2 linked regions of the Rhinolophus ferrumequinum genome follow. The protein of the gene in region 2 interacts with the protein of the main gene of each other region in a biochemical or structural test. Links are inferred from orthologs where the notes say so. Each region holds a gene or a part of one and is shown on either strand. Other genes may lie near its edges.

Region 1 (7,217 bases), on a different chromosome or scaffold from region 2:
GCACTCAGTGCCTGGCCATGGGCTGGGGCAGGCTGGGCACCCGTGCGCCGTTGCCCCACGTCCTGCAGGAGCTCAATGTCACCGTGGTCACCTTCCTGTGCCGGCCACATAATGTGTGCACCTTTGTTCCCCGTCGCAAAGCTGGCATCTGCTTCGTATGTATCCGCTCAGCTCCCAGTGCCCCACACCGCGTTTGGATGGCTTGAGGGACCTCCCTAGAGGCTGGAGCTGCCCTGGAGCAGAGGAGGCTCCAGCGGCCACCCAGGGGAAGGAGGGTGGGTGGTAGGCTGCAGTTCGAATCCACTTCCTCTTCACTGAGCAGCTGCAGGCTGGGCCTCAGTCTCCCCATCTGGAAGGAGGGTACACCCATTGTGAGGGTTCAGAGGATGATCCATGGAACAGCCTCAGCTCCCACAGGCACAGAGGGGGCCGCTCAGGTCATACCTGGTGGCCCTCATAGGTCTGGGGACTGTCCCTTCCTGGGGCCCTCTCAGACCTGGGGAGGTGTGGGTGACTAGCCTAGTCTCAATCCAGGGATCCAGGTATACAGATGAGGCCACTCTGGAAGAAACGCCTGCTGTCTTCCAGAGTGGCCTCATCTCCCTCTCTCGTCCACGTGTCCTAAAGAAAATTTTGGACTGGAAACATTTTACCCGTAAATGGCGTTAGGTCGTCTTCAGCCACCCTTTCCCTGACGTAGCCAAGTCCTGGGTGACTGAGTGACCTGTCCCCACACTTCACAGGGGGACTCAGGCGGCCCCTTGATCTGCGACAGCGTCATCCAGGCCGTGGACTCCTTCTTGATCCGGGAGTGCGCTACCCGCCAGTACCCCGACTTCTTCGCTCGAGTGTCCCTCTACGTGGACTGGATTCAATCCGTGTTGAGAAGCGCAGGGGGCCGAGGACAGCCCCCGAGCCTCCCCTTCCAGACTGATGCCCCAGGGCTGAGGCCAGACAGCAAGCCCTAACAGGACAGGGAGGGGGCCGGTGCTCAGCCCATGGTGACATCAATAAAACTTGAAACCCCCCTCTGGCTCGTGTCTGTCGCGAATGTGGGAGAGTGTCCCCAGCATGTGAGTCCCCAGACCCCAGACTCGGGATGGGGATTTGGAGCCAAGGCCTGGAGGTCCGTGGAGGGCTCAGGTCACAGTGCATTCTCCCCACCCTCCCATGCCCACAGACATGGGATCTAATCCAACCCCGCTGCTATGGCCCTGTGCAAGCTGCTGTCCATCTCTGTGGCCCAGTTTCATTGTCTGGAAAAGGGAGTCACCCCAGACATTTCCCAGAACTGTCCACGGAGCTTCACCCTGACCCTCAAGGCTGGGGGGTGTCATTTCCAGCTCTGTGTCTCCAGCTGGGGGTGTGTGGTGAGGCTGCTGGAAGACCAGGCTGTGGTAACAGAGAATGCCTGGGGCCTGTGGGGCTCCTCCCCGGTCAGAGGCAGGCAGAGCAGCCATTAGGGAGGCTTCCTGGAGGAGGCGGCAATGACTGAGGTGACTGCCAATGCACAAACAGGAACAGGAGGGGAAGGGCCCCCAGACAGGGGCATAGCGAGGGCAGAGGGACTGCAAGGCTGCACTGCAGCTGGAATGGAGCAAGGCAAGGTGGTGGGGGAGGAGAGTTCAGAGAGGTGGTGGGAATAGAGGATGCCAGACCACAGATATGAACTGGGGTAAGCCTAGAGGAGAGGCCTGAGGCAGGGAGCGGTAGAGGTCATTGGCCAGTGGGCAAATGGCCATGGGAATGAGGCTCAGAGAGAGGGGCCAAACTGCTCATGGGACACACTGGAATTGGAAGGCGGATCTTTCGTTATTGATTTACTCTGCCACCACCTGGTGGCAGCGTACAAAATACAAGCAAGAACGAGAATTCCCAGGCCTGCCCAGTTCTGCAACTCTTTTATACCTCAGTTACCACCCCAGTGTAGGTGCTATGACTGGTTTACACCAGCAGCACCAGGAGAAAATGTGTGCGGAGACAGGGGACCTGGATGAATCCTGGGAAATATAAGCTAATGAGTGTCAGGGGAATTCCCTGCTGGGAATTCCCTGCATCTCCCAGGGGCCCAAGGCGGGGAAGCGGTTTCTATAAAAAGCCCACAGTGTTGGGGGTAGAAGAGTTTTGCTAGAGGGAATGCTGGAAACAGAAAGACCAACAAAAACACCGCCAGGAGGGTTCTCTGGGGCTGATGTGTGTGAAAGATGACCCAGGGAAGCCCTACACAGCAGAGACCAGACCCAATAGTGGGAATTGGTGGGGTTTAGGGAGGTGTTGGGTGGATTTGCCAGAGGTTAGCTGAGCTGTTGAAAGAAGCCCATGGGAATAACAAGCAGGATGATCAGCACACACTTGGAAGGCCTCAGGGTGAAAGGGATTCCTTGAGGGGAGGGTGTGGGGGTAGTCTCTGCTGCTGGTGACCACAGCTGTACGGGGTTGCTTCCTATAGCTCAGGGATCCCCAGGCCTCCAGCAGTGGGGAAAGGCACTCAAATCATTGTTTTCTTACTGGGCTGTAACTGAGACCTAAAAATGCGCGCGTCTTACTTGTAAGCTCCATGACTCATTATAAGGGTGTCGCCAGTGTCGCCACTACTCTGATTGCAAATTAGAAGCCCAGTGTTCGCATCCTAGCCTATACCCACCAGACAATCACCATCCTGCCCTCCTGGAGGTGGTTAATGGCTAACAAACCCTCCAGGATATCACTTTCTTATCCAAAATCTTTACAAATGTTCATTCATTTAATCCTTGGGACAGCCTATGTGATGGAGCCTATTATTATAACTTTCCTTTTACAGAAAAGGAAACTGAGGCACAGAAGAGTTAAGTCAGTGGCCTGAAGTTATGTAGTGGGCAAGTGGCCACACCAGGATATAAGCTTGACCACCATGAGATGTGGGAACATAGTATACAGGTGGTGATCGATAAATGCAGCTTTGGTTAAATGGGGTCTTTCTGCCTGAGCCACTCTTCCCCCAAAGACATGGCTTCCTCCACTCTCCCCCATTCCAGGACTGGAAACAGGACTGTGTATCCAGCAGGTGCTTACTCAGTGCTCTATGATAACTTTAATGCAATTGGGTGGGAGCCCTGCCAAGCAGGGAGCGGGGTAGGACTGGTTGATACGGGAGGAATGAAGGGCAGACATGGAGTGCTTGCTGTGCGCCAGGGTCTGGGAGCGCAGTGCTGTCATCCTTACTTGAGAGAGAAGGGAGTTTGTTTGCTCGTGGCCATGCATCGGGGTCGACCCAGGGACGAACAGGATTCCAGCTCTGGTTCCGGGCACCCCTGGTGCTCCCGCCTGCCTCTTCCTGCCGATGGATCCGTTGTTTCCCTCCCCTGAACCCTGCTCCGGGCCAGGAGAACGTTGCTTCTTGCGACAGCCTTGGCTATGGCCGTTGCAGCTGGAGCATCCTGGGGGAGGTGGGAAGAGGAACCAGGCCATGGGGTGGGGGTTGGGCCTTGTTGTTCGGATTGAATTCTTCCACTGGCCCAGCAGAAGCTCTCCAACTTCAGGAGGGAAGGGAGTTCAGCAAAACTCAGAGAGAAGGGGTTCTTTCCCAGAACGTCTGTTGGCAGCCAGAGACTGATGTGGCCCTGGGTGGGAGGGAGTCCCTGTTGTGGGCAACAATCAAAGAGAGGTTGGCAGGCCAAGCCCCAAGAGGAAGGTGGAGCAAATCACCCTCCAGCTGGAAACTGTGGGGCCTGGGTTCAAGCCTAGCTTACCCACCGTGTCACTGTGTAGGAACTCATGGGGGAACACCTCGCTGTGCCTCAGTTTCCTCTTCTCAAGTGGGACCCAGCAGTCCTCCATCACCCCTGTGCCCTGGGTAAACTAAGGCAAGTGGGGAAACCAGCCAACGCCCTTTGGGCCTAGGCTTGCCAGATTTAGCAAAAATATAAGACATCCAGTTAAACTTGAATGCTAGGTAAACAATGACTAAGTTCCTAAATAAGTATAATATTTGGGACACACACTAAAAAACATTGTTTATCTGATTTCAAATTTAATTGTGTGTCCTGAATTTTATCTGGAGCCAACCCAGGCCCCTCACGCCGCCCCCTCCCCCCACCCCCACTGTCTTCCCATCATCGCCCTTGTCCTGGAGGTGGGGAAAGGAAGTGGGGCAATGCAACGGTCCCAGGCATCAAGCCATAAGAAGGCCCGGTGGGCACGGGGGTGCACAGACATCAAAGCCCCCGCCCGACCATGACCCAAAGCTGCAGACCGTCCGGTCCTACCTTCACCTCCATCCTGCTGACCATGCTGCTGGGCGGTGAGTGGGGCCACATGTCTGTCCATCTCTCTCTCGGCCTCCATTCCTGCCTCTCCACTGTGCCCTAAACCTGCGTGGCCTCTTCACCCTCATGGGGAGGTGATGGCTGGGATGGGGAGACCTGTTTCCAGAGAAAGAGACCGAGGTCCAGAGTGGTGAAGAGCCCAGAGTTTGAACTGGGGCATCACTGGGCATGCTCTGGGGACTGCAAAGCCAAATTAAATCCAGATCTAGCTGTGCCCTGGCAGGGGGCAGTAGGAGGCCCCCTATCTCTCTGTGCCTCAGTTTCCTCATCTGGCACATGAAGAGCCCTGATCTGTGGGTTCCTGGTGAGAGTTCAAGGGCTGACTGGCTCAGCAGGTGGGGCTCCTGCGTGGCACTCACTACCCCCGCCTCCACGTATCCCCAGGTCCCGCGCTAGCCTCTGAGATCGTGGGTGGTCGGCAGGCCCAGCCCCACGCATGGCCCTTCATGGTGTCTCTGCAGCGGCAAGGAGGCCACTTCTGCGGTGGCACCCTGGTGGCCCCGAACTTTGTCATGTCGGCCGCGCACTGTGTGAACGGCATGTGAGTGATCGCCTTCCCTGCCCTCGCCACCCCGTGTGTCTTCCCTTCTCAGACCCTCTGTTTCCACATCTGTCAAAGGGGGAGAGTGAGACCAGGGCCCAGGCTCCTCCAGGGGTCCCCCATGAACGCATCTCCCCTACCAGGCCCAAGTGGGGGCGTTCAGCCAATGAGCCCAAGCATCTGCCCAGGGTGGCGATGCTACCCCTGGGTGTAGAGCCGGGCTTGGCTGAGCTCTGGAGTCTCTCAGCTACCCCCAACGCCTGGGGCCACCTCGAATCACCTCCTGCACCCATTTTGCCTATAGAAACTTCCAGAGGGTGCGGGCGGTGCTGGGGGCACACAACCTGGGGCAGCGTGAGCCCACCCAACAGTCGTTTGCCATCCAGCAAGTCTTTGAAAATGGCTTCGACCCCGAGAGGCTGCTGAACGACATCGTGATTCTGAAGGTGCAAGGCCAGTGGGGTGGGAAGTGATGCCCAGGCAGGGGACCGGCAGGTGCAAAGGCCCAGGGCCAAAGGCTTGGAAAGGGCAGAGACAGAGCGGAAACACTGGAGGTCACATGCGGCTCTAACTTGATAGTTCGTCTCTGTGCCTCAGTTTCCACTCATGTAACCTGGGGAAACAAGCCCCTCCTGGCAAAGCTGTTGAGAGAGTGAACGAGAAGACACAGAGAGATCTAGACACAGAGAGATCTAGTTGTCAATCAACAAAATGTTATGATTATTTGTGTTTGATGGCCCTGTGCCCAGGGACTGTTCCTGCCTTTGTGAAATGGCAAAATTCCCCACATCTGGGCTGAAGGGAAACTGGAGGGAGAAACCCTCCCTTCCCCACTGCTGGCAGAGTTATGATTATTCTCTGGAATGTTTTAGAATACGGTTTCGTTGTCATTGGTGTTGCCCATAGCTTGTTATATTGAGTATGTATGTTTACTCCTCTCAATACACATCCAGGGACGCCCTGAGCCACTGTTGTTGTTCCTATTTCAGAGATGGGAAAACTGAGACTGAGGGTGGGGAGCATCTCACTGGGTGGGCAGCCTACTCCGTAAAATCCCAGAACCATGGTGGGACCTTATGTGGGGAAATTGAGGCCCAGAAAGGGGAGGGCCGGTGCCCACCTCCCTGTGTGACTCTCCTGTCCTCTGCCCTGCCCACTACAGCTCAATGGGTCAGCCACCATCAATGCCAATGTGCAGGTGGCCCAGCTGCCCGATCAGGACCAAGGCGTGGGCAATGGGGTGCAGTGCCTAGCCATGGGCTGGGGCCGGTTGGGCACCAACCGGCCACCACCCAGAGTCCTGCAGGAGCTCAACGTGACCGTGGTAACATCCCTCTGCCGCCCCACAAATGTGTGCACAATGGTGCCTCGCCGGCGGGCAGGCATCTGCTTCGTAAGTACCCGCATCCCCTCACCACTCCACCCTCACTCCTGCCCAGACTGCAGCAAGTGGAACTGCAGCCAGACCCTGGGAAAGACTTCCCAACTCTGAAGGGCAGTGGGTGGGGAGCCCCGGAAGCCCAGCCTCCCCACCTAGTCTGGCTCCACACACAGGGGGACTCCGGTGGGCCTCTTGTCTGCAACGGGCTGATCCATGGGATTGACTCCTTCATCCGGGGAAGCTGTGGCTCCGGCTTGTACCCAGACGCCTTTGCCCCCGTCGCGCAGTTTGCCGACTGGATCAACTCCATCATTCGCAGCCCCGGTGACCAGCCCCATCTCCACCCCAGGGACCCTGCAAGCAGGATCCGCTAGAAGGGGCTGGCCCTGTCACCCCACCTCACCTGCCCCTGGCTGGGGCCTTCCCACGCTCCGTTATGCAGCATCTGGCACAATAAAAACCCTCTGTTTTGTAGACTGTGTCTTGGTGTTGGTTGTGTAATTGGGCGTTGAAAGCAGTCATGAGAGCATCTTGGGAATCTCACGAGTATGAGCATTGGAGTAAGTTCCTTCTCCACCCTCCACAAAGAATGCCAGTTGCCATTTCTGGTTTCCCTCATGTAAAACCGGGTTTTGTGTGATTAAATTAGCATTGCACGTGGTGATGACACAAAGCACTGTAGCAGGTGTTCGTTGAGTGCTTACCAGGTGCAGGAATCATTCTCAGTCTTTGCAAGTGTTCGCTCATCCAGCCCTCTGAGGCTCCAGCCCTTGTGGCCGGTCCCGTCAGTGCCCTGTTTTACAGAGCAAGAGAGGTGAAGCCCTGTTCGGGAGCCTGGCTTTGAGTCCAAGCTCTAACTTTGGGCAACTTGCTCACTGTCTCTGAGCCTCCGTTTCCCTGCGGGGAGGAGTGAGGTGCTGTATGGTAAGGGGGGTTGGGGTCTCATTGGGTGACACAGACGAGCCCTCCTTCACCTCCCCAGCATTTTACT
Region 2 (8,011 bases):
CAAAGAGCTGTTCTGATTGTTTCAGGAAGTCCTCTTTGATGGGAAATCCTACACAGAAGCGAACACAAACTGTTCTCAGGGCTCCACAGCTAGCAATGATTCCAACTGGCTACCTGAGGCCAAGCCCACCTCCCTCACCCCATTCACCCCAGGGCACTACCGATGGAGCTCCCTGCCACCAGCACCTACCTTTCTGCAGGTACATTCTGGCAGCCAATCGGAATGCCCCAGGGTCCAGGTCTTGGCAGAGGTGGCTCAGCAGGTGGGGGAGGCAGGGCCCCGAGTCTGCATGCAGCGCCTGCTGCAACCTCTGCAGCGTTTGGTTCTGAGCACCTGGAGGGGACCACACGAGCTGTGGCCCAGGCTGAGATTCTTTCCCACCCCTACTGCCCACCCAGTCCCTCTTGAGTACCCACTATGAGCACGCCCGTGGAACCCCACACTGTCCTCCCAAGTCCACTGAACTGGCCTGAGTGACAGGCTCCCAAGTTCTACTTTCATCTCTGCTGCTGACCGTGTCAGTGACCTCACGAAAATGATCTCTTTCTGGACCTCAGTTTCCCACAATGACACCCTCCAGTCCAATGGAGACACTGTAGCTAACAAACTCTTGCATAAAAGTCACCAGAAACAGATCCCCAGGCCTAATCCCTGAGAATTTGATTCACAGAGACTGGAGGTGGGCCGGCATTTTTACCAAATGTCCAAGTGACCCCAGTGGAGGAGTAACTCCGGAGTAGTGAGTTCCTACTGGCCTCCCAGCTTTGCTGGTCTGGACGGGTGCTGCCACAGTACCTAGTGCCAGGTGAGACAGTGCCAGGGCCACACTCAGAGGCGACAGGATGAGATTGGGGCTGGTAGACCTTTGGGCCACCAGGGAGAAGAGATCTGTGGTGAAGGCCATCAGGGCCTGGGCCAGCCTGCGGGTCTGCTCCGGAGTTGGGGCCTTGCTGCAGTCTCCTGTGGCCTTCTGCAGGGCGCTTTGGCCACCAGACTCCTGCAGGGATATATCAGGGGTCAGTGGCGTTCAGGGGTCAGATCCAGGTTCTGTGCTGAATATCTCCTTCATAGCCTTGTGGCTGGGGACAGCAGGGCCTTTGTCCCAGTCCTGATAGAAGTCACACAGGCAATGGCATCCTGGGGACTGGATCCCTTCCTCTGGTCCCTCTCACCCTCTCCCTTCAGGCCTCAGCCTCATGACCACGCCCCCCAGTTCTCTCCACCCTGCTGATTGGACCTCCTCCCTCGGGCCCCGCCCACTCTTCCCCAGCCCCACCTGGTTGTACCTGGTTGCCCAACTTGAGGAAGCTAAGTAGGGACAGCTTCTCCTGGGTCTGCCCAATCATCGTCTGAAGATAGGAGAAAACAGATGGAGAGAGACCTTCCCACAGGTCCCCCACCCTGCAGAAGCCACAGGTGAAGCCCCTCAGGGCCTTCCTCTGCATCCTGTCCCCTCACTCCCTATTACCTGCTGGCCCCAGCGTTCCATGGCACTGGCTGGAGAGAACTGTTGAGAAAGGGATGAGGAGAGGAGGGGGGACCCCCCTCAGAGCCAAACCCTCCCACCGTCCAGCCCTCCTCTTCTTCCCCGTCAGACTTCTAGCCTCTCCCATGCCCACCTTCCCTCCCCACCCAGACCCAGACCAGCGCCCAGGCTCACCACCAAGTAGGGGCCTTGCAGGCAGGACAAGCTGAGTACCAGGAGCCCCCGGAGCAGCGCCATGTTCCTGAGAGGGACAGGAAGCCTCAGCGCCCACCTCGTCCCTCCCTACACACTATCACCAATTATCTGACTGGCCACCTGAGGCCAAGCCACCACACCCACCGTGGAATTCCACCCACCTGATCCCTGGCTGTCAGTCCTGAGCCATCACTGCTGAGGGGACAATGCCAGTTGCAACACACCCGCCCAAACACATTAGCTGTGGCTCTCAGTTCTGAAGGGTGGGATTTTCTCTCCTCAATTGTTTTTCCCCTCTTTGTGTTTTCTGGTTTTTCACATTTCATACACTGAAAATGTTTTGGTTCACAGGGGGAAAATATTATCAGAACAAAAAAAAGTCCTCATTCTTCAAGGACTGGCATTGTGAGTCAGACCTGGGTTTGAATCCAGATTCTGACTCTTGCCAGAGGAACTTGGACATCTCCCTTAACCCCTCCGGGCTTCTCCTTATCTTGTAAAATGATGGCACAAGTCCCGGCCTCCTCCCTCGGGCATTGTGAGGACCAAAATAAGATAGTCTTTGTGAGCCCCAGTACAATGCCTGGCACTCAGTCATGACTGTTGTCAGCCTAGTGCAAGGCCCCTCTTCTGAGAATCCTGCCCTTTCCTGGGGCTCCATCCCCAAAACTCATCTCCAACCTGCTATCCATCTGACCCACCTTTTCTGACTGGTCTGGCCCGTCTATGCCAACAAGGGTAGACGGGCCTGTGAGGCCCTGAGGTGTCAGCAGGGGTAGTGGGGTGGCGCGGAGAGCCACCTTGTTGACCTAACAGCAGCACCTAATGAATGACTTTGGCCAGAGCCACCTTTGGACTTATGGGAAACACTCTGCCCCAGGCTGGCTCCGGGAAGCCAGGCTGGCAGGAGGGGATGGGCAGGTCTTGGTTTAGCCTCAGGCAGGTCTCACATCACCCAGCCGCCATCTCGGGGCCAGTCTTTTTGGAGGATCCTTCTATCACCCCTGGCTGGACCCTCATCATACACAAGGGACTTTTGCCAGGGCCCTGATACCCAACCTGGGCTTTTGAATCTTCCTGTCAAGAAAATCCCTCCAGTTTTTCAAGTCCTAGAGAGACTCTTCCTGGGCCCCCCACCTTGGCCCCACATCACCCCAGGAGACTGAGAAATAACAGGCCCTCAGCCCAGACCCCCTTAGCCAGGTGGGCAGCTCCTACCTTCTCGCCTGCTCAAGAAGCAGGCAGAGCCACCCCTCCCCTCCTACCTCTGCCGGCTCCTCTCTGCTGAACACAATGTCCCTCTGGCCCCACTTGGGTGCTCCCCACGCTCTGCCCGGGCTCCAGCCAACCCAGCTGAGCCCTCCCCTCCCACCAGGACCTTTGCTCTCAGCCAACCCCTGTTCAGACAGCTTTCTCCTCTGGTAAATATTGACCTGCACATCCGGTTAAACATTGATATTGGGGCCGGAAGCCTGTTTCCCACCAGGGCATCTAATCCTGAGACCGCCACCTGGAGCCACATGGATTTGGGTCCCACCTGAGCCTGAAGAAAGGAAGTTCAGGAGACAGTGGAGGAGGCTGTCCTCATCTGGAGAACAGATCCAGGAAGGACAGAGGTGGGGGGTTATCCCGGCTTTAGTCAGGCTCAGAGAGGCTATGTGATCCGCCCAAGGATACAGAGCTGGACTCAGAGTTACATCCAGGTTCCCATTTCCAATGTCCTTTCCTCTCCCCCACAACTGCTTCCCCCTCCTGAGGGGAGGGAAGGGGAAGCTATAGATAGGAGCCTATGTAGGGAACCCAGGGTAGGATGCCCATACCAAGCCTTACATGTCGCGTATCCTGGTTGGCTGCCTTCAGCCTGAGTCCAGAAGGCAGGGGGTGGGGAGAGACGCTGAGGGACACAGCCTCTCTCAGCTTCCTACCTCACCAGGAGCAATGTCTCCTTACCCTCCCCAAGGATGAAGGTTCTGGAAACTGGCTTGGGGCTACACGAATGAGAAGCCCTGTCCCTGTGCTGCCTGAAGAGCAATGATCAGGCTGCCTCCCCAGCTCCTGCCCTATCCTCACCCTCTCCTCATTGCCCTGCAAGCTGCAGGATCTCAACTTTTCCCCACCTGACACCACCATCAAGAGAAGCCTCACTCAGTTCCATGGCTCTTCCAAAGGATTTATTGGTCATATTTACATCTATTGCAAATAGTGAGGAGACAGCAGGGGCCCAGTCCCAGACCTCATCTCTGCTCCAGAATGTGAGGACCTGGGGACGGCAGGGTCTTCCTGTCCCTTGGGAGATATCTGAGATGCAGAGATGGAATTCTTCTCACCCCTTCTCTCAGGGTCTTGGATTTCCCCTCCCCATGCTCGCCGGAGTTCTGGGCCCATGGGCTGCCTCCTCGGCTCAAGGCACAAACACTGTGGTTAGGGGTGGGCAGGCAAGGCTGGGTCACTCCTGCCAGGCACCAGCTAGCCTAGTCCATCGTCCCTCCCCTGGTCCTGACCTCTTTTTTGTCCTACTGGTCCCACACTGGACAGGACCTGGCTGGGTGGACACTTAAACCTCAGCCCAAGGCCCTTAACTCCTGGACCATGGCCAGCCCTCCTCAGAGGCTAGAGCCCAAGCACCATGGGGTCCTGGACTGGGGAAGTGCCCCTGTCCTTGGGGGACAAGGATAGAGAGAGCCCAGCAAGGGGGAGGGCTTGGCTAGAGACTGGGTGGGCAGGGCCAGTCTCCCCTCCCCTTCCCAAGCCTCCCTGTCCCCATGTGGATCCAGAGGGCAGACCTGGGGAGAAGAGAGCGCTGCGATGCTTTCCCAGCTCCTCCTCTTGCTCCCTGCTGGCTAGGAGCAGCACCTCCCCAAGCCGTGAATGAGATCAGCCTCGGTGGCTCTGGGGGTCAGGAACCCAGATCCCTACCCTGCCGTAGCTGGCAGGCCATGTGGGTGGGTACACAGGGCATGGGGTGAGAGGCTTGCATGAAGGGGGTCAGTGGGGAAACAAGGGTAGGGGGGTGGACGACCGGAGGGTGTCTGCCCAACAGGGCCTGGCCAGCTCCCGCCTCAGCCTATGCCAGGAGGCGGATGACTCCATTGTCTGAGCCCAGCAGGAGGTGGCGTTTGGTAGGCAGCAAGGCCAGGCTGGTGAGTGTGCCACGGAAGTTCTCGGAGCTGAGCTTGGTGGTGGCCTGGGAGGGCGGCTCAAGCAGGGAGCAGACGCCAATCTTGTTGGCCACGGTTCCGGTGACCACCTCGCTGCCATACAGGTCGAAGGTGTGAATAGGGTCGGACGCCGACTTGTAATGGTGTGTGGGTTTCTGTTCCAGCTCCTTCCAGACGGTCAAAGAGTGGTCAGAGGAGGAGCTGACCAGGATGCTGCCTTCCACCGCCTGCTCAGGGAGAGGAGAGCCTCAGCAGGGCCTGGGCCTCCCGGGTGCCCACCAAGCCTCAGGGTCTTCCTGTTTCCTCCCAGAAAGACCGGCATCGTGAGCAGTGGACAAGCTACCACCCTCTCACACTATGTTAATGTTAGTTAATATGACTATATCAATGTGTCACTCACTATAGTTGGAATACTTGCTATATTCAGGCCTTGTGTTAGACAGGCCACGTTACCACGTTACCTTTTCATCTTTGTAACAACTCTATGAGGTAGATGCTGTCAGTGTTCCCATTTTACAGAGAAAAACTAAGGCTCAGAAAAGTTAAGTAAATCATACCAAAGTCACAGAGGCAGTAAGTGGCAGAGCCAGGATTAATACCCAGGCTGACCCCAGGGACCTCCTGAATAGTCAGGATTGGAAAGTCAGAAATGAGAGGCACCTGGAGCCCAGGGGCTTCTGGGGAGTCCCGGAGGGAGTCCAGGCAGCCTGCCCCCCGCAGTGGCAGTGCACGTCCCCTGGCCTCCACTTAGGATGGGGAAGGAGTCCCAGTTGCCTGGAAAAATTATCCCACAAGTAGCCCTGTGTCTCACCTCCTATGCCTCCCTGAGGTCTGTGATTAAGAAAGGAGGGGGTAGGGGGGAAGCGGGAGGATGCCCATGCCCAGTCTGTCCCTGCCCCCACCAGGGCAGCCCAGCAGGGGGTATGGACTCTGCTCAGTGGTCTGGGGGCAGTAAACATCCTCCCAGCCGAGCTTTATTTAACCTGAATTGGGTCACGGACAGGACCCGACCCCTGATCCTCCAAGCAAGACAAATATGGACAAGGGTTACTCATTAGAACATCTCCAGGGAGTAGCAGGGTCAGCTCGGCCCCCTGGGGCACGCCCCCATGGCCTTGCTCCTGCCAAGTGCCCACAGTGCACCTGGTTCCTGGCCCTCCCTTACACTTGCCCTTGGGCAGGTGTCAGGGAGATCAGCTTAAGCCTGTCCAGAGGTGGGAGCCCAGAGCAGTGGGGAGGGGAAGGGAATCCGGTCTGTTACCTTGATCTGCAGGATGTCCCCTTCATGGGCAGGCCAGCCACGCAGAACCAGGCCTGTACGGGTGTCCAAGAGCACCATGAAACCCGAGGAGAAGCCAGCCACGACACTGCGGCCACTGGGGCTAACAGCCAGGGAGCGGACCAGCCCAGGGTTCAGCCCTCCGCCCAGGCGGAACTCATGCTGCAGGCAGAGGGAGACCAAGTGAGATGCCACCACCGGCTGCAACCCGCTTCTCTCTGAGGTCCTGCTCAGCCCCCAGGTCCCCACAGCTGGAAGGCCTGAGCCTCTGTCCCCCATCGAGGGGAGAGCGCCTCCCTTCACAGGCCAGAGTCCCATCCCCCAGGGTTTGCTGCTGTGGGTGAGCTGTCTCCAGAAAGAAACAACGCCCTGGCCTTCTCCCTTTGAGGTCCCTCCCCACTGCCAGGCACTTAGGCCAGGACTCAGGGGACCAGACTCCCCTGACCTGCAGTCCGGGCTTCCTGCAGTCCACAAAGCGCAAGGTCGAGTCGGAGCTGGCCATGGTGATGCTGGTGTGGGGGGCAGGCATGACAGCCACGGCGGTCAGGGGCACCCGGCTGTCCGATGGCTCCACCGTGCGAAGGGTCTTCCCTGAGAAGAGAAGGTGCAATGGATCTGAGGTCCCAGCAGCTGACGGAAGAGCCCCGACTCTTCATATCCCCGACCTACCCAATATCTGCCTCCCATATCCCAGAGAATCGCAGAAAATGCTTGATGTTTCTTGACCCTCCCCCCTTCCTGCTTCCATGGCCAGGCCAGGTTCCTGTCCCCAAAGCAACCTCCTCTCTTCACACAGCACCCTCTGACTGAATTCTATCTCCCTCTGTCTACCTCAGTGCTACTCTATCCCCTCCCCCTTTTCAGCTTTATTTCTCCCTCCAATAATGGCAAAAACTAATGGAGCAACAATTTACCAAACATGTACTGCATGCCACCTGTTAAAACAAGCCCCTACATGCATTAATTCCTAAACCAGTTGCTCTGATTCCCATTTTATAGGAGGGCAAACTGACGCTTCCAGCAGTGACGGGACTTGCTCAAAGTCATTCATCAAGTAAAGGTGGCAGAGACAATTCAAACTCAAGGTCTAATGGATTCCAAGTTCTAACTGCTCCTCTGTGTGGCCTCCCTGGGTCACCCCAAACCACACACCGTGATACCCCAACCACCCCACCCTTGAGCCCCATTCCCAGAGGCCCGGTGGGGTAGAGGATGGCAGTCACACACAGGCCTCACCTGGGCCCGCTCACCTGTGAAGGGGTCCCACACGTGCACAGCCCCGTCACAGCTCACTACGCACTGCGGGGCCTCCAGCTGGCCCACAAAGAAGACGCTCTTGCGGTGCTGGGCGTAGATGAGGCGTGGGGCCATCTCGCTGGTGCCGTCCCCAGAGTTGTAGAGCGGCCAGAGGCGCACGGTGCGGTCCTTGCTGCCACTCAGGAAGAAGTCCTCACTGCTCAGGGGCGCCACACACTTGACGGCCCCCGAGTGGCCCGGGAAGCTTTGCAGGCGGATTTGGTGGAAGTGAAAGTGGGCGTCCTGCTGGCTCACGCCAATCTCGTACTGCCAGTACGCCAGCCAGTTCCCGCTCAGCCCGTGGGCGCTCCGTGGCAGCTCCCGCTTCAGCGCATTGTCCTCGCTCTCACTGCCAAGGCCCCCATTGCCCACCCCAGAAATGGGGCCCAGCGGGCCGGGGCTCTCAGGCTGAGAGTCATCGGGGATCTGGATGCGGTTCCCGACCAAGACACTCCCAAAGGTCCCCGAGTGGCTGTCATCCTGAGGGCAGCCCCCACCCTGGGGGTCTGACTCAGGGCCTGTGCTTGGCATGGTGGGCTCCACGCTGGCAGGGTTGCGACTGCTCGGGCTGATGCTCTCCAAATACAGCCCCGCCAG

The links. The genes of interacting proteins can lie anywhere in the genome.
Region 1: of the proteins of SERPINF2 (region 2) and ELANE, one has a biochemical effect on the other in vitro, tested with the Homo sapiens proteins (2 studies listed by BioGRID). The link is inferred for Rhinolophus ferrumequinum from reciprocal best matches to the Homo sapiens genes SERPINF2 and ELANE.

Annotation. Positions count from the first base shown.
Region 1 is NC_046301.1:62,057,676-62,064,892, reverse strand, and holds ELANE (neutrophil elastase), read left to right. Parts: upstream 1-4,123; 5' UTR 4,124-4,212; coding exon 4,213-4,279; intron 4,280-4,688; coding exon 4,689-4,845; intron 4,846-5,149; coding exon 5,150-5,291; intron 5,292-6,007; coding exon 6,008-6,238; intron 6,239-6,399; coding exon 6,400-6,600; 3' UTR 6,601-6,702; downstream 6,703-7,217. Other genes in the region: PRTN3 (myeloblastin), read left to right, coding at 1-155, 744-968. UniProt on the Homo sapiens protein: Serine protease that modifies the functions of natural killer cells, monocytes and granulocytes. Inhibits C5a-dependent neutrophil enzyme release and chemotaxis. Promotes cleavage of GSDMB, thereby inhibiting pyroptosis. Promotes blood coagulation.
Region 2 is NC_046304.1:16,210,246-16,218,256, forward strand, and holds the start of SERPINF2 (alpha-2-antiplasmin), read right to left. Parts: upstream 3,054-8,011; 5' UTR 2,947-3,053; exon of another isoform or gene 2,900-2,946; intron 1,728-2,899; 5' UTR 1,724-1,727; coding exon 1,661-1,723; intron 1,508-1,660; coding exon 1,469-1,507; intron 1,350-1,468; coding exon 1,287-1,349; intron 998-1,286; coding exon 796-997; intron 334-795; coding exon 190-333; intron 49-189; coding exon 1-48. Other genes in the region: WDR81 (WD repeat-containing protein 81), read right to left, coding at 4,746-5,066, 6,101-6,280, 6,564-6,709, 7,369-8,011.